Linked DNA regions of Caenorhabditis elegans. The protein of the gene in region 1 purifies or fractionates together with the protein of each later gene. This does not show direct contact. Each region holds a gene or a part of one and is shown in the gene's direction. Other genes may lie near its edges.

The links. Proteins that work in one complex are often made in the same cells at the same time.
Region 2: the proteins of clec-63 (region 1) and F07A11.5 fractionate together in Caenorhabditis elegans (co-fractionation; one large-scale study listed by BioGRID). This does not show direct contact.
Region 3: the proteins of clec-63 (region 1) and prdx-6 fractionate together in Caenorhabditis elegans (co-fractionation; one large-scale study listed by BioGRID). This does not show direct contact.

What each region holds. Positions count from the first base shown.
Region 1 is NC_003280.10:12,892,911-12,898,792, forward strand, and holds clec-63 (C-type LECtin), read left to right. Parts: upstream 1-2,727; 5' UTR 2,728-2,729; coding exon 2,730-3,277; intron 3,278-3,609; coding exon 3,610-3,806; intron 3,807-3,854; coding exon 3,855-4,165; intron 4,166-4,297; coding exon 4,298-4,477; 3' UTR 4,478-4,536; downstream 4,537-5,882. Other genes in the region: clec-62 (VWFA domain-containing protein), read right to left, coding at 242-427, 474-586, 644-841, 901-1,196, 1,244-1,347, 1,875-1,988, 2,030-2,188; clec-64 (VWFA domain-containing protein), read left to right, coding at 5,380-5,846.
Region 2 is NC_003280.10:11,609,942-11,615,841, forward strand, and holds F07A11.5 (Ribokinase), read left to right. Parts: upstream 1-2,358; 5' UTR 2,359-2,395; coding exon 2,396-2,454; intron 2,455-2,518; coding exon 2,519-2,778; intron 2,779-3,387; coding exon 3,388-3,644; intron 3,645-3,729; coding exon 3,730-3,841; intron 3,842-3,897; coding exon 3,898-3,974; intron 3,975-4,208; coding exon 4,209-4,388; 3' UTR 4,389-4,450; downstream 4,451-5,900. Other genes in the region: F07A11.4 (ubiquitinyl hydrolase 1), read left to right, coding at 155-276, 322-548, 1,317-1,365; din-1 (Daf-12-interacting protein 1), read right to left, coding at 5,301-5,405, 5,855-5,900.
Region 3 is NC_003282.8:216,281-222,303, forward strand, and holds prdx-6 (Thioredoxin domain-containing protein), read left to right. Parts: upstream 1-2,271; 5' UTR 2,272-2,286; coding exon 2,287-2,372; intron 2,373-3,181; coding exon 3,182-3,562; intron 3,563-4,260; coding exon 4,261-4,489; 3' UTR 4,490-4,573; downstream 4,574-6,023. Other genes in the region: Y38C1AA.1 (Phospholipid/glycerol acyltransferase domain-containing protein), read left to right, coding at 591-722.

The sequences.
Region 1 (5,882 bases):
GGGGTAGATTTACGGCGCGTTGCGTGTCGCGTCGCGGCTCGATTTTAGTTGTGGAGTACACGACTTTCCCACGCGTTGTCCGGCGGGCGATTGTCAATGGAGCGCGAAAAATGCAAAGGAGGAAGACCAGAGCCCCGTGAAAAAAAGTAAAAATATTTTGCTTTGAATTTCATTACAGTATACATTCAATTATAACCGATTTCAAATGGAATTATGTCTGTAACTTATGTAATTAATTCCATTATTCACAATATGTAGACGTATCACACGCGGCAACTTCACAAACATATCTCTCGGACACCGTATACTGGTTGACATTCTGCCATCCCACTCTGAAAGCACTGCTGGATTGCTGATTGAGGACGGCGGTGGTCGTAGATGATTGTGTAGGGAATCCTGGATTCCATAGGCTATCGTTAAGCTGGAACTGATACAGGGATAAGAACTTTGGCAGATTATGGGAAGGGACTTACCGGCACCAACGCGTGACCCACAGGTTGTTGCCACGCATATCCTCCATTCACATAGCTCAGTCCGATGTGATACACATAGGGCTCGGGGAATGAAGTGTCGTTGCGGACAAGTTATGAAAAAAAAACAATTGATGCACCTCGAACCTTTAAAAAAATCTAATTTAACTTACTGAAAACATAGTCATGCTTCTTCTGATCATACTCGGTGACCATGTACCCCGTCTGGATCATATTCTGACACGCAAACTTTGCTGGGGTCCAGCCAGCTGTCAGAGCCACCGGGCGCAGGCAAACTCCGAATTTTGAAGAATGAGGGTCCTCGAATGTTTCTCGGTATTGAGTCCAAAGGTTTGAGCAGTAGCAGTTGGCTGAAAAAATTAGCTAACGATAACTTTTGGAAAAAAACTTTTGGAATTTTCAGTCTTACTCTGAATCATTGCAGTTTGAATTTCCTTAACCAGATTTTCATCTTCATTCGTAAAATTGAAACCCGGCGTCGCAATTTCTCCAATCAGCTTGATCATCTCTTCATCTCCAGTCTGATCAAAAGCGACAGTTGCGATGCTAACACCAGACGCCTTAAGCCGTTCAGCGATAGGCCTAGGATCCTCTTCACCTTCATCATTATAAGCGGATGCATAGACAATCACCATTTGCTTGTAGTTTTTGCGAGTGTTGTTCTTGCGACCAGCGGCCAGGAGTTGCTCAGCTGCTCCGATTCCTCTGGAAATCATGGGACTTGGAATGGTTTAAAGGTATGAAAAACTCACTTCGCTAGGAAAACATCTTCTGAAGTGCTCAGGTCATTCGGAAGAATTTGAAATACCGTGCTGAAAAGATCATCTGGCGACTGGAAGCGATTTAGATCGGCTTGCTGAAAACACTTGGTTAAAACTTAAGTTAGGTTCTGTTATGATGCTACAGACTTGCTCCATTTAAGTCCGAGCTCACACTATTGCACGTGATGTCAGGCTGTCCCATCACGGGTTGATCTTCAAAAAATGCGGGATGTTTTCCCAGGAAAATGCGACGTCAGCAAGCTGTGAAATCAGTTCTAAAGTCTGCGTCTAAAGTCCCGCATTTATGGTAGATCAACCCGAAATGGTACACTCTGGCATCACGTGATGAGCGAGGAACGGTGCTCCATCGCACACCTCACGTGGTGTCAGAGTGTCTCATTTCGGCTCGATCTACATAGATCTACAAAAAAAGCGGGAGAAGAGACGCATAGTTTTCAACTGATATCGCATGGTTAAGAACTTGCTGACGTCACTTTTTTTGGGCAAAAAATTCCCGCATTTTTTGTAGATCAAAACGTAATGGGACAGCCTGACATCACGTGCTGGTATAGGCAGGCAAAGGCCCCCAAGCCCAGGTAACATTTGCGATTCCCGCTCTTACAATTGTTGCCTCAGTGTTGTAGGTAACCAATCCAACTCGGGTTGTCCTTTTATCGATATAATTCGTCCCAATCCTCGTGCCAGCGCCAAACACTGTCACAATTTGGGCAGCCACCTGATAACAATTTCGTAATTGATTTCAGAGAGAAAACAAACCTCTGTAAGCCCCTCTTGTGTCATCGGAGCCGAGTTGTCGACTACAACGACTACGTCCAACCAGAGATTCGCCAGGTCATGACCGCAGTTTCTATCCGTGGGAGGCACCTGGCCGTAGGTGACGGAGAGCAGAAAAAGTAGAAGAAGCCCAATAAGCATCTGAAGATGAACTTTACTTAATTGATGTCACAAACAAAAATCAATTAAAAAACTACTTTGAAAATGAATGACAAATTCAGTAATGATAAGAAGCCCGCAAACGTCATTTACTAACATAAGATTGTTATAATTAATCAAAAGGTGCTGGTGACATTTTGGTAGACGATAAGTTGCGCTAAAGGCCAAATCTAATTAAAGTTCAAGTTCAAATTATAAACAAACATTCTAAAAATTTTCAGTTAAGTCGATTAGTTGGGTGGGGTTGTTTAAACTTTTCAACACGAAATTTCAATTAACAACACCCATCAGTCCTTCCTGCTATCTTTAATTCTAAAAAATTTAATAGCCATCGGTTTTGAAATGTATGCTGCACCTCCTGGTGATAAGGTGTTATCAGTGATGGGGGAGCATACGAAAATTGTCTTAAAATACGCCCCCTCCCAAGCAGTTCTCATCATTTTCTCATCGTTAGTTGGCTTCTTTTCAAGTTTTTAAACAAATTCAATTTAATATTATTATTAGTATTATTATGTTTTCAGCCATGTTCAAACTGGTGAGCTTGGCACTGACCCTTGTGGCTCTTGCCTCCGCACAAGATAGCACTACATCATGGCAAACAGGAGCAACACAAGGACCAACACCATCAACACCACCACCAACTCCAGGGGGCTCAAATGTCGACCGTGAATGCGGTGGAGACTTGACCAACCTTTGGCTTGATGTTGTCGTCGTCGTCGACAACTCCAAGGGTATGACCAATGAAGGAATCACCGAAATCGCCGCCAACATCGTCACCGTCTTCGGAAACGGAACCAGAATCGGAAACCAGTACTCCGACCCAAGATCCACCAGACTCGGACTTGTCACCTATAACGGAAGATCCACTATCGTCGCTGACTTGAACCTCCTTCAATCGATCGACGACCTCTACCAATCGGTTTTCTCTACTCTCAACCAGGTCAGCAACTCCGACGACTCTTTCCTGGCTAAAGGAATCGGTGCCGCAGAGAATGTGCTCCAATCCGGAAGAACCAATGGAGTTCGATCGAACTACAAGAGACTCGTCGTTGTCTACGCTTCAGCTTACAAGTAAGAACTTACGTAGAATACTTTCTTTCTTGTCTGTTAAAATTCATCTATTTCGTCTTGAGAGGGTTTTGATGCGATTACTAGAACTTTGAACAAATACGCATGGTCGAATCGGATTATAAATTAACCTATGCTCTTACCTTACTAAGCTTAGGCTTACAGCTTAGGTTAAATTTAAGCTTACATCAATTCCAACCAAAACGTCGTACTTCTGTTGGATCCTTCAACTCTGCGGAAACTTCGGTAAAGGGAGCATTTAGGAATTTCTGAAGATCAGACAAAAATAGAGAGCACCCAAATATTTAAAGTAATTACACACTCCTACGTTTCAGGGGAGAAGGCGAGCTCGACCCCATTCCAGTCGCCGATCGTCTCAAGTCCTCCGGAGTCGTTGTCTCCACCGTTGCCTTCGACCAGGACGGAGATGAGGCTCTTCTCGCCGGACTCACCAACATCGCCTCGCCAAACTACGCTTTCACCTCCAAGGACTTGAACTTGGTTGGAGAACTTCAAGGAGCTGCTCTTCAAAGTAAGATCCTTAGTTGTTCTACCAATACATAAAATTTCAAAATTACAGCCAACTGCTTCTGCCCGAACTTGTGGACCCAATACAAGTCGAACTTCGACGACGAGAACTCTTACAAATACGGAGTGTGCATCCGCCCCGCCACCATCTCCTCATCCTGGACCGCTGCCAAGTTCGCGTGCCAGAACCTCGCCAAGAACGGATTCCTCGCCGCCGAGTACGACGGACAGAAGCACAACTTCCTCTTCAGAGTCGCCCAGAACAACACCGCCTTCCAAGCTCCATACATCTATCACATCGGATTGAGTTATGTGAACGGAGGATGGAATTGGCAGCAACCAGCTGGATACCCACTCAAGCCAGTAAGTTTTGCCGTTGTCACGTAATGATGTAAGATGATGATAGTCGTATTGAACCTTGAAAAAGATCAAATCACTAGAAGTGATAACGAAAAATTGAACATTGTTCGGATGATAAGCCTAATCAATTTTCAGATGAGCGGCTACTCCAAATGGAACCCATCCTATCCAAAGTCCTTCACCAGCAACATCGGAGTCGTTGAGCAGCAATTCAGCTCGGATCTCACTGTTGGATGGCAGAACATCAACGCATACAGTGTTGCTGAGTACTACATGTGCGAAGTCGCTTCCTGTGATACCGACAAGTATTGTTAATTTAGCTACACTAATTTTTTTTGTAAGGTTCCTGTTGCGGTATAAAGGCTTTAATGATGAATTTTTTTTTTAATTTGCTTTCACATTAAAATAATTTGTCGAATGGAAAAAATCAAGAAATATAATACTGTTTAAATAATTTCTGAAGTGTAGTAAAACTTATATTGTAGATTCATCCCCTCACAGTTGTGTTGTCCGCAAATCAAACTACAAAATACAAAGAAGACAGACTGAAAGTTGTGTTCAAGTTTCAATAGTTTACCGAACTAGGCCATTTTGGCTCGGACATATCTGGGGTAGATTTACGGCGCGTCGCGGCTCGGTTTTAGTTGTAAAGCTGAATGCATTTGTCCGTGTAGAGTACACGACTATCCCACCCGTTGTCCGGCTTGTCAATGGAGCGAGAAAAATGTAATGAGGAAGGCCAGAACCCCGTTAAAAAATCAACATTTTCTCAAAAATATAAATGTTAAAAGCTCTTAACCTTTCACTTTCACCTACCCAAAACTAAAATTAATTACAAATTCGATTGCATCGAAAATCACTAAATTTCGTTATCATTGAGCAAATAATGTGTGCACACCCGTGTGGAAATGCTAATCCCTCGAAAAAAAAAACTCATAAAAGATTATTTTCAGAATATCATCATTTCCTTACTTTTCCACATTCAAGTTTACTTTTTTCCATATTGTTCAGGCAGGTAGGCATGTTTTGGTTTCTCATGAAAAACAGGCACGCACACATGCCTATTTATCTGCCTGCATGCCTGCTTTTTGTCAATTTTCTGTTGTTTGGCGTTTTTTTGAAAATTGGTTTTCAAACTTACTGCAATTATTTTGAATGCATTTTTACAGTTTTTCGGTATATGAAGCTGAAGCTATGAAGCTCCAAAATTTCCAGCAATGTTACTAAACCTACTTGCCATTTTCACTGCTTTTGCAACAACCCAAGCTTCAACTGATCGCAACTGTGGAAGTAACTGGAATAACCTTTGGCTAGACATCGTTATAGTCGTGGATAACTCGAAAGGCATGACAAACGAAGGAATCACAGAAGTTGCAGCCAATATTGCGACCACATTTGCAAGTGGCCCAAGAATTGGAACGGACTATTCTGATCCAAGATCTACCAGGCTTAGCATACTCACTTATAATAGTGAGGCTACAGTTGTCGCTGACTTGAATCAGTTTCAGTCGGCCGATGACGTCTATCAGACGCTTTTCTCGTTTCTCAATGAGGTCAGTGACTCTGATGATTCGTTCCTGGCGAAAGGGCTTGGGATGGCTGAGAGTGTTCTTTACAATGGAAGGATGAATGGAGTTAGAGAGAATTATAATCGATTGGTTGTGGTTTATGCTTCAGCTTACAGGTAGAAGCTTAGATTTGTTTTTTGAAAGTTAAACTA
Region 2 (5,900 bases), 1.3 Mb from region 1:
TTCTGGAAACTTACTTATAAGAAGGGATTACTCCGTATGAACCTACCTGATTAAAAAAATAGGTGTAGGTAATTTTTGTAGGCATGCAGGCAGGTAAGCATAAGTTTCAAAAAATCTCTCGATTTTTCAAAAAATCTATTGTATGGACTTTCAGCATTCACTTATCAATCATCAATGGCTCGTCGAAGCAAGGACACCCGATCAGTTGAGTATCCATTGGAGAGTCTTGATATGTCTCCGTTTTTAGCAGAAACATCTCCACATCCTAATTCAACGGTAACTATTCACAGTAATTATTTTCAAAAAATATTGAAATTTCAGATGTATGATCTAACGGGAGTAGTATGCCATAGTGGAAACAGTTACTTCGGTCATTATATTAGTATGGGTCGACTCGCCGATTTTGATTCGTCGAAAACGAAAATCGAATGGAGGAATTTCGATGATTCGACGGTGGCTCGGCAGTCTACGAGCACTTTACAAACGGAGGATGCTTACTTACTCTTCTATAAAATGAGAGATCAGAATGTGACGAGGAGTATATTCAAGTGAGTTGGAAACCCCAAGAACTATAAATCTGGGAAAGAATTTCCTGAAATTCAAGAAAATCGATAAATCCTGAGAACGGCTTTTTTTGAGACGAAGACGTTCAAATAATTGAGATAGTTTCCAGCACGGTATTGATAGTATGATAGTTGATTAGAAAGCACTATTGTAATAAGCAAATTGATAATTGAATTTGTAAGCATTGGATAAAAGTGAGAACTGATTGATTCAGCTTCAGATTTGGACAATTTATATATTCCAAATCTAAATAATAAGTTCCACGACCGAGGTCACGCAAATTGAAAATTTTTTTCTTAAATTTTTCTTTAAAAAATTAAATAAAAATTTTGGATTTCAATAATAAGAAACCGTGATTTGCTTGTTTTTTCAAAACTTTTAGGCAAAGATTTCATAAATCGCCAAAAAATTGTGAATTTCTGTGGTTATTTAAGATATCCTGCAGGTTCGAGCTCCTAGAATTTGAAAAAAACAATTAGTACGAAATTAGTAAAAAAAAACCAGGATAACATATTTTGACCGACTTACAAGGTAATGCTTGAAAACTGAATGTTCAGAACTTTTTCACTGGAATAAAAATTTCAAAAAAGGTTTTGAAAGTTTTTCCATAATATTTTTTATTTTGGAACTAGTTGTTCATTTTCAAACTGATGAGTTTTTTTTTTTTTTTAATGATTTAATTTTTAATGATCACCGCGCTGGGTTTTTATCAAAGTAACCTATTCCGATCAATGAACAATTTTTTATTTCAGACGCCACTACTCGTGTGATCCTGGAGCTCCAGAAGAAGTCAAAATTTAGTCATTTTTCTAGATTTTCATAAATTCATCAATTTTTTTTTCCACGTGTTGTTCATTGTCTTCATTTCTTTCAAAACCTGTTACCATGTTTTTAGATATTACATCTTTGATTTAATATTTATATATTTTTCATTAATTTTCCTAATTTTATTGATTATTAAAATAACAATTGTTTGAATCCACGGAGACCGGTTTCAGTTTTTTTTTTGTTCCCCGAAGAGAATAAATTAATTTCAAAATTAAAATTCTGTCCTTGACTGCAAAGGAAAAAAAGAAAAAAGAAATCAAGATAAGCCGATGAAAATTGATAAGAAGGGGAAAAGATAAGATACGAGTTCCAAATATTATCTGTTTTTAGTTCAATGCATTTTGAGGCCATTCACGTGCCATTTTGCAGGCCTACGTGCCTGCCTATCGCCTGATTTCTGAATTTTGGCCCGTGATATATGACGCCATTGTTTTGTTTTTTTTTCACATAAAATCACTGTCAGTGAAAATTTTTAAAGATCAAAAAAATAACCAAAACAATTAATTTTTGATCACAATTTTATCTGACCTGAATGGTTTAAAATGGGAACATTATCTGTTTGGGAACCTTCAAAAAAAATTTTTTTGCTTTTTTTAAAATTTGCTTTTGGTTTTTGAAAGCTTTTTCTAGGAATTATAGGGTCTGTCATCATTGTAGGTTCTTCATGCGAACGGGCCTACGTGCCTGCCTACAAATTATTTGCTTCGCTTTCAAGAGGACTAACATGTTTCCTTTCAGTAGAGTGTAGGCATGAGGCAGGCAGGCATTTTTAGCCACCTAAAAAATTTCTGGAAAATAATACTACGTGTGTCTTATTCTCTTACCATAACTGACCAGCTGCCAAATTTGTTGGCAAACAGTTTTTGCCCTCAACAAGCTAACCACCTGATTCTCTTTCTCTCTTCTCTTTTTTGTGTTTCTTTGATTATTTGACACGTGCTATCAATCGCATTTTTATTTTTTTATTTCAGAATTTTCTAAATTAAAAAAAAAGCATATCGTTATGTCAAGTGAAAACCAGAAAATCGTGGTTTTCGGAAGTATCGTTCAGGATCTTGTCAGGTCTGTTTTTTTTAAATTTTATCTTTCATTAAACAATTTTACATTATAAACTACCAATTTCCAGCTACACAGATAGTTTCCCAAGACCTGGAGAGTCGGTGCGCGGTCACAATTTCAAGCTGGGCTCCGGCGGAAAAGGCGCCAATCAGGCAGTTGCTGCGGCTCGCCTAGGGATCAATGTCTCAATGATTGGAATGGTTGGAGAAGATATGTTCGGAGATTCTAATATTAAGGATTTGAGCAGCAATGGAGTTGATACAAGTTGTGTGGGACGGACCAAAAAGACACATACCGCCACAGCGACTATCACTGTTAACAAAGAAGGTTTGTATCCGAGTTTTGGCGGGAAAAAAATATTTAAGATTATGTGTGGCCTCTTGAATGTCTTGAAGAAACATTCAATATTTGTAGCAAGACCCTACCTCTAAGAAAAAATTGCCAACCGGGTTAAGAATAAGTTCCTATAGCTATATCTGTTCTTATAGCTCGTAGATCACTGAAATTCTAATTTTGTTCTGAAAACGATTTGTCTACGTTCATAGAATCTATTTTCTCTTTCTTTTTCCCCCATTTTTTTGGTGACGTAATATAAATAACTTATTATTTCGAAGAACCTTCAGTGACGACGACAAACAAATAACTTTGAACTGGAACTAATAGTAAGAAGTGGGGGAGAGAGGGTAAGGAGAATTACAAATTTTTAGACTCAAAAAGTGAGCTCAAAATGTGATGCATCTAGTAGAAAATTGGAATTTGACATATGTAGAAAAAATATTTCAAATAGCATCTACAGACATGAAAAGTTCGATTTGTTACAGTGCAATTGAGGTGTAAAACTATTAAAATATGGTAAATTCGAAAAATTAAATTTTCTTGATTTTCAGATTTACATGAGACTTACATTATTTCAAATCCAAATTCCAAAATTTCCAGGCGAAAACAACATTGTGGTGACGCTGGGTGCAAATCTTGAAATGTCGCCTGAAATCGCTGATGCGAACTCTTCAAAAATTGCTGGCTCGAAAATGGTCATTTGTCAGGGAGAAATTGACGAAAAAGGAAATAGAAGAGCCTTCGAAATTGCTAGAAGTCACGGAGTCACCACTTTTTTAAATCCAGCTCCTGGGGATCCGAATATGGATAAGACGATTCTCGAGCTGGTTGATATTATTTGTACCAATGAGAATGAAGTAGGTCTATGTTATTTTTTCTAATCAATTGAACTTTTCCAAATATTGTTCTGAACAAAAAATAAATTAAATTTCAACTTTCCAGGCGGAATTCATCACTGGAATCGCTCAAAACAACGTGAAAGACGCTGAAAAAGCAGCACGTGCAATGCTCAAAATGGGACCTCAACATGCGATCATAACTCTCGGAGGCAAAGGTTGGGGGACTTACACTGGGATAATTTGAAACAATAAATTTTTTTTTGAATTGTAGGTGTCCTGCTTGCATCCAAAGGAGTCGATGATGTTGAGCATACCGCCGTGATCAAAGTCGATGCAGTTGATACTACGGTAATACTAAAAAATAAATTTTGTCCGAGCTTGGGTCCCACCACAATATATTTTTTGAAACGAAAGAAATTAGTTGCCTTTCTAGTTATTTTTAGTTAAAAATGTTGTGCATGGGCCTCTAAAAAACTACTTTATCAAAATCAAAATTTTTGGCGCAAGTTTTCTACAGTAACCTGGAGGAAATATGAACAAGATCAATCTGCATATAGGTATAATATTAATTGAAAATTCCAGGGAGCCGGTGACTGTTTCTGTGGTTCACTGGCTGCTCATTTGGTTGCCGGCCATCCGATTTCCGCATCAATACGCTCGGCTGCCAACTTGGCCGCACTTTCTGTGACACGTCATGGAACTCAATCGAGTTATTGGAAGCTCGACGAGATTCGCCAACAATACCCGGAATTCTTGCCTTAAAACTTATTACAGTGTCTTTCAAGAAATTTGTGATTAGGTCTGAAATAAAAATTCTGCTTTCCAAACACATTTTATACTTTCAATATGTTTTAATTAGCTGTTGAACATTGCAGGGAGCCTGAATTTTTTGAAAATTTGGAAATTTACCGTTTAATGTTAATGTTTGTTCCAAAATAACACAATTCTCCTATAATGAATTTCTTTCCCGTTTTGTTATTTTCCTTTTCAACAAATTTAAATGCTGAAAATTTAATTTCCAGAATCGCATAGTCATTGTGTATAAAGAAATTTGCGTAAATTCAATTATTTCATTGTTTTCGTTTTTCGAGCGAGTCGAGAGCTTCTCCGATAAAAATACAGACGAAAGACAAGAATGATGAATTAAATAATATAAGAATGACGACAAATTGGAAAATGTTTAAATAGTAGATGGGACGGGGGGGGGGGGGGAGGTCTTAAACTAACATTTTACGAAAACTGATCCGCTATTTTCATGAGAGACTTGAATTAGTGTCTAGTAGGGAGGAAAATTGAGAAAGCGGTGTGCCAAAAAGACAGAAATCCTTCCGGCGGAATGAAGAAAATGAGATATAAACCGGGGGAATAGTCCGTTAAAGTAGATAAATAAGGTTGGGTGGGGAATAAATATACAGTGGCGGGGGAAGAGATAAAACTTTAATGGTACCGAATTTGTCTTTTTGTTAAGTTAAAAAAATTAAAACCCATAATTCAAATTAAAACACAAGTCTGAGTCAATCGGGTAAAACATACATGTTATATGAATAGCGGAATAAATAAACGGGCGAGAGAAATAGATATATACTTTTTTTTGACAAGATTGCACATAGGTTGAGAATCGACAGTAGATTTTGGGTTGGTTGAATTTGGCAGAGGAAATAAGGCTCTTCCTGATTAGGTACTGCTTACTGGTGGAACGGCGAGTGATGCTACAGATGGTGGCCCAGTCATGTTCGGGTCAGCCTTGTCGTTGGTGAACACTATCAGCAGGTAGCGGGTCTGAAAATTGGAAAAATTAGGTAAGAATTAGGCAAAGTCAGGTAGAAATCTGGGTTATTCTTTGGAAATTTCTATACAAAAATAGACAAATATTTGTACTTTTTGAAAATAATTTTACTTTCAATTGAAAATTTCGTGAAGTTGCTTCAAAACCGCCTCAAAGTCGAAACTGAGCCCAGGAAATGTGTTGATTGGCTCATCGATATTTGAGGCTCTTTTGAGCAACTTTAAAAATATTTAATTATATAAGAAAAATTATACTCAAAAAGAAAAAATATTTCTCTATATTTCTATGTAAATTTTCTGAAAAACATTTCGACCCAACAAAGATAAAAATGGGATTTTGGAAATGCATCGCACAAATCTCACACTCCCAAAATCCATAAAGTGGCTAGAATCAAATCCTAGTGGAACACCACAAGGCCAAAAAAAATTTCAAAAAAACTCACGTCAGTGTTCTGAAGGTAGTCATGCAACGAGGTGGCCAACTCGGAC
Region 3 (6,023 bases), on another chromosome or scaffold:
CAGCCTCAACCAAAAATTCTCAGCCTCAACCAAAAATTCTGAGCCTCAACCAAAAATTCTCAGCTTCAACCAAAAATCCTCAGCCTCAACCAAAAATTCTTCGGAGCCGTTTTTTTTTCTATTTTTAACAGAAATTTGGAACCGCAAACAGACAAAATTCGGCCATCAGTTTTTCCACGGCCACGTAGCACTGTCAGCTCACTGGAGAAGCTCAACTATTTTTCTTTTATTAAGGAAACATTACAAAAATTTGAGAAAAAATCAAAAAATTGATAAGAAATTCAATTTTATTTGTTTCCTCAAAAGTTTTTTTTCCAAATTCTTATTCTTAGTCTTTTTGGGAACTCTTTTCCTGAAAAAATCTAATGATTCTCATTACCATAATACTTTTTTGGTGCGGCTGAAAATTATGAATTGTTATGTTTTATTTATTATTTTGACGAATTTTTGTTAAAAATTAAAATCATAAAAAAGAAACGGTTCAGTAACTATGACATTTTCCAAAAATTCCTGCAAATTTTCTTGAATATATGGAAATTAAAGAAAATTTTCCATTCTCCAAAACAATTTTTAATTCTTAATCTTTTCAGGAACTCCTACAACGAAACGGAGCAGGAACGACGAGTCCAACGTCAGACTCAGAAGATATCGTGGTGCTCCGACGGGATCGATCCGGAGTTGAAGATGATGATGATGAAGTTGATGAGCTCGGTGGAATCTAAATTTTTTTTAAATCTGAATACTGTATTTTTGTGTTCTTTTTGGATCTCTCTGTGCATCTAAATTTCTGTGTAATTTTCAATTTTGCAGCTTTTAATCTCTTTTTTTGGGAGGTTCTCATTGAAAATATCCAGCGGAAATTGCTACAATATTCAAAAAAAAAAATTCTCGAGAAATCGAAATTTCTAGTAGTTTTTGAGCATTTTCTGTGGGATTTTTCAGTAATTTTTAATGATTTTTTTTTCAAAATTTGCATCCCTGTCCTTGATCTAATCAATAATTTACAAATTATACCCCTTTTTTTCGTAGAAATTACTTTATTTTACAAAAAACCCGTCTTAACTGTGATAAATGTGTACTTTTCCCCCCGTCATAATAATAAATCAAATTTCTATTATTTTTAACGTTTTTTTTTTGCTTTTTTTCCTTTGTTTACTCTACCAATGATTTTATATTTTGATTTTTTTCCTTTTTTCAAATAATTTGCTAGTTTTATCTAAGCTTAGAACCTTTTCAGTTTTTTAAAAAAAGTTTTTTTGTAATTACTTTTTAAAGCGAAAAATCAAAAATTAAAAAAAAAAATCAAATTCCTAAAAAAAACGTTGGAAAAACTTTTTTCTGGAAATTTTTTTTTTAATTGTTTAAAAACAACGAAAAAAAATTAGCTATCTAAATTTTTCTTAACTTTTTTCTGGAAATTATTTGTTTTTGTTTTTAATTTTTGCTGGGATCTATTGAATGGAATTTTTGAAAGAACCAAGAAATGGGCGGAGCCTATTCCAAATAATTTGAGGCTGAAAAAAGTGAAATAAAATTGTTTTATTTACTTTGTGTTCGGGTTCTCAAGTTTCCTTCAACAAACTTTTTGGTCTAAAGCTCTTTAGATTTTCAAAACAAAAAACCAATTAAATTTTCTTGTTTTAGAACAATTTTAATGCTGAAATCTAAGAAATTGAATTTTAAAAAACCAAGAAATGGGTGGAGCTTATTACAAATAATTTCATTGTCCGACACCACTCCAAATATCCGATTGGAAAGTGAAGTCTAACACATAAAACAGATGACATTCGCCGGGAACAAAAACCACAAAATAAGCTCCGCCCATCTCATGGCTTTTATGTATAAATGATTTAATACGCACGTTTCAATTAAGTTTTACTGAATTAATAAAAAAATTCTTTTAAAAAAATTCTGAAATTTTGAAAGCTTTTGATATTTATAAAAGCTTAAAGCCAATATATGGGCGGAGCCTATTAGCGATTTTAATTTGGATTACGCTCCGCCCTTTTCTTGGCTATTTTTGAGTTGTTTTCTCGAATTTTCACATTTTTTCGAGCAACACGAAGGTGTCTACTGGTACGGTAGATCACGATCACCTACACAATCATGTCAACATTTCCCTGAAATAACGAAATAAATTGAATTTTGTTGTGATTGGAAATTTTTTTTTGTTTTTTCTTTGCTGAGCCAAATCATATTATCTTCTTAAGAAACTATTTTTTACTTTTTTATTGAAACATTCAAAAAACTGAAAATTATAATAAATTTCAGATTAAAACTCAAGAGATGAAGCTCGGAGACACCGTTCCAAATTTTACATTCGAAACGGATCTTCGCAAAAATCAAACTTTGCACAACTACATTGGAGAACAGTGAGTTTGGAGAAAAAATTGTTAATTTGGTTGTACTTTATTGGATAGTTTGAGTTAATTTGAAAGGATTTTGAAAAAACAAATTTTTTTGGAAATTTTGAAAAAAAATGAAAAATTGAGTTAAAGGTGGTGTAGCCGGATTTTTTTAAATTGCTTTATTAGACTCAAAATTGTCTGAAAACAAGGAATTTCGTTATGAAATTTCATGAAAATTTCTCAAAAAAAAAATTAAGACGGCTCAAAAATGGCCTAAAATTAGTTAAAATTAGAAATTTGACCTACTTTTCAATGTCGCCTTTACTCAAAATTTGACGATGATTTCAAAAAAAATTGGTTCCAGCCGCTTCGACATTGACAAGTCGGTCAAATTTTCGATTTTAACTAATTTTAGGCTAGTTTTTAAGCCGTCATAACTTTTTTTTGAGAAGTTTTCAAGAAGTTTCATGTTGAAATTTGGCGTTTTCAGACAATTTTGAGTCTAGTAAAGAAATAAATAAAAATTCGACTACTCCACCTTTAATAACATCTATTTTCCAAAAAAATATGGATTTTTTTTTTCTAAAAAATTAACGATTTACTATATAAAAAATGTTAAAAACATTTCGAAATTTTTTTTTTCAAAAGTTACATTTTCAGGTGAATTTAAATATTTTAAAAAAGTCCTGAATAATTTTCGCAAAAAGTTGAAAAAACACATTTAAAAAGTATTTCAGAATTTTTATAATTTTTTTTTGCAAAAATCTACTTTTTCACTTTAAAATTCTTTTATTAAAAAAATAAATTCCAATCCAAAACGATCCAATTTTCAGATGGCTGATGCTGTTCAGTCACCCGGCCGACTTTACGCCCGTCTGCACTACAGAACTCGCCGAGCTCGTCAAATTGGCTCCCGAATTCCGCAAACGCCATGTTCAGATCCTTGCGATCAGTATCGATTCATCAGAAACTCATCGTGATTGGGCAAAAGACATTAATTCGGTGGCACAATTGAGCAATTGCGGAAGCCATTTGCCATTTGAAATCATCGCCGACACGGATCGATCGATTTGTACAGAACTCGGAATGATTGATCCGGATGAGATGAATTCGGAGGGAATCTGTCTTTCGGCTCGTGCTGTGATGCTTTTTGGACCTGATAAGAAGCTCAAATCGAAGATTCTCTATCCGGCTACGTTCGGCAGAAATTTTGTGTGAGTGAGAAGATTTCGAGGGGAGAGAATTCAAGTTTTCAGACATTTCTGGATCTCAAAAATTCACAGAATTCGAATAATCAATAGATTTTTGTTGAAATTTGAATTCTAAAAAAAACTATTTTTGCTTTTTTTGCAAGTAGATTTTTGCAAGCCTCCTGAAACAAAAAAATTGAAAAAGCTAAATTTTCCACAATTTTCGAATGACTCCGTTTTTTTTAAAACTGTTTGCCAAACTACACGTGGTGTCAGAGTATCTCATTTTGGATTGATCTACGTTGATCTACAAAAAATGCGGGAGAAGAGACGCAGAGTTTTTAACTGATTTCGTATGATTAAGAACGTGCTGACGTCACTTTTTTTTGGGCAAAAAATTCCGGCATTTTTTGTAGATCAAACCGTGATGCACGGATTTCTGGCTTCCCTTATAAATCGAAATGGCAGAGTTGGCCGAACTAGGCCATTTTGGGTCGGAGAGATTTTGTGTAGATTTACGGAGCGCGAAAATTCAATGAGAAAGGCCAGAACCCAGTGGTAATGGGACAGCCTGACACCACGTGAAACTAGAAAATTCAATAAATGAATTCACGAACAAAGTCGAATTACATATTTTTAGACTGAAAAACTAGAAAAAATATTTAGAATTATCAATTTTCCAGTCATTAGCCTTGGCGCCTAAAATTCCCCATAATTTCCAGCGAAATTCTCCGCATGGTCGACGGTGTTCAACTCGGCACAAAGGCTCCAGTGGCAACTCCGGCTAACTGGATTGCCGGTGACAATGTCATCGCTCAACCATCTCTGAGTCAAGAGAGAGTTATTCAGGAGCTTTGTGGTGGAGATCCAGACAAATGCAAGACGGTTCCGTTGCCGAGTGGAAAGAGTTATCTACGTGTCATCGAGGGAGACGCTTACTTGCAGAATTGATATTTTATTTAAATATGTGTTACTTTTTGTTGGTTGCCTGGTTTTAATGTTGAATTTTTCCAATTTTATAAATCAATTATGTTGTTTTATTTCTGAAAAAGCAACTCGATTTTGAGTGAGGCTCTGGAATTTCGGGAATTTTATAGTTAACAGTTTTACAAAAATGCAAAAATGGTTTTTCACAATTTAATCCGAACTGTAATTTTCAAACTCCAGCTGTTTCCATTTTGTGTTTCTTCCTTCTCGTCGAAGATGTGAATTTCAGAAAATGTGTTGATATGGATGAGAACATTACGTCCGAGTTGAGATCTTCTGGAACAAAATCATTTTTTGACGTAAATTCCTTAACAGTAAAAGTACAACAATCCTCTGTCTGTACATAGAAGTACAGTACCCTTCTACAGTAACCATACTTTCTCTTTTTCCAATTTCCCGTAGTTTCGAACGTTTTCAGAAAAATTATTTTTTTTGCCCAAAAAAAAAGTACAGTCATTAGATGGCTGAAAAAAATTTGGGCAAAAATAAAAAGTGGTCTAATTTTGTTGAAGACGGGTAATTCATATATGGAGAATTCAGAAAATCTAGGTTTAACCCATCAAAAACTATTAAAAAGTGGCAAAAATGACAATTTATGACAAAAAAGCACAATTTTGAAACTCCTCTAAAATAGGCAATTTTGTAGTTAGAGGGCTCAAAATTGATCTGAGAACACTAAAAAACTGCCCTTTTCCAATTTCCCGTAGTTTCGAACGTTTTCAGAAAAATTATTTTTTTTGCCCAAAAAAAAAAGTACAGTCTGATGGCTGAAAAAAATTTGGGCAAAAATAAAAAGTGGTCTAATTTTGTTGAAGACGGGTAATTCATATATGGAGAATTCAGAAAATCTAGGTTTAACCCATCAAAAACTATTAAAAAGTGGCAAAAATGACAATTTATGACAAAAAAGCACAATTTTGAAACTCCTCTAAAATAGGCAATTTTGTAGTTAGAGGGCTCAAAATTGATCTGAGAACACTAAAAAACTGCCCTTTTCCAATTTCCCGTAGTTTCGAACGTTTTCAGAAAAATTATTTTTTTTGCCCAAAAAAAAAAAGTACAGTCATTAGATGGCTGAAAAAAATTTGGGCAAAAATAAAAAGTGGTCTAATTTTGTTGAAGACGGGTAATTCATATATGGAGAATTCAGAAAATCTAGGTTTAACCCATCAAAAACTATTAAAAAGTGGCAAAAATGACAATTTATGACAAAAAAGCACAATTTTGAAACTTCTCTAAAATAGGCAATTTTGTAGTTAGAGGGCTCAAAATTGATCTGAGAACACTAAAAAACTGCCCTTTTCTAATTTCCCGTAGTTTCGAACGTTTTCAGAAAAATTATTTTTTTTGCCCAAAAAAAAAGTACAGTCATTAGATGGCTGAAAAAAATTTGGGCAAAAATAAAAAGTGGTCTAATTTTGTTGAAGACGGGTAATTCATATATGGAGAATTCAGAAAATCTAGGTTTAACCCATCAAAAACTATTAAAAAGTGGCAA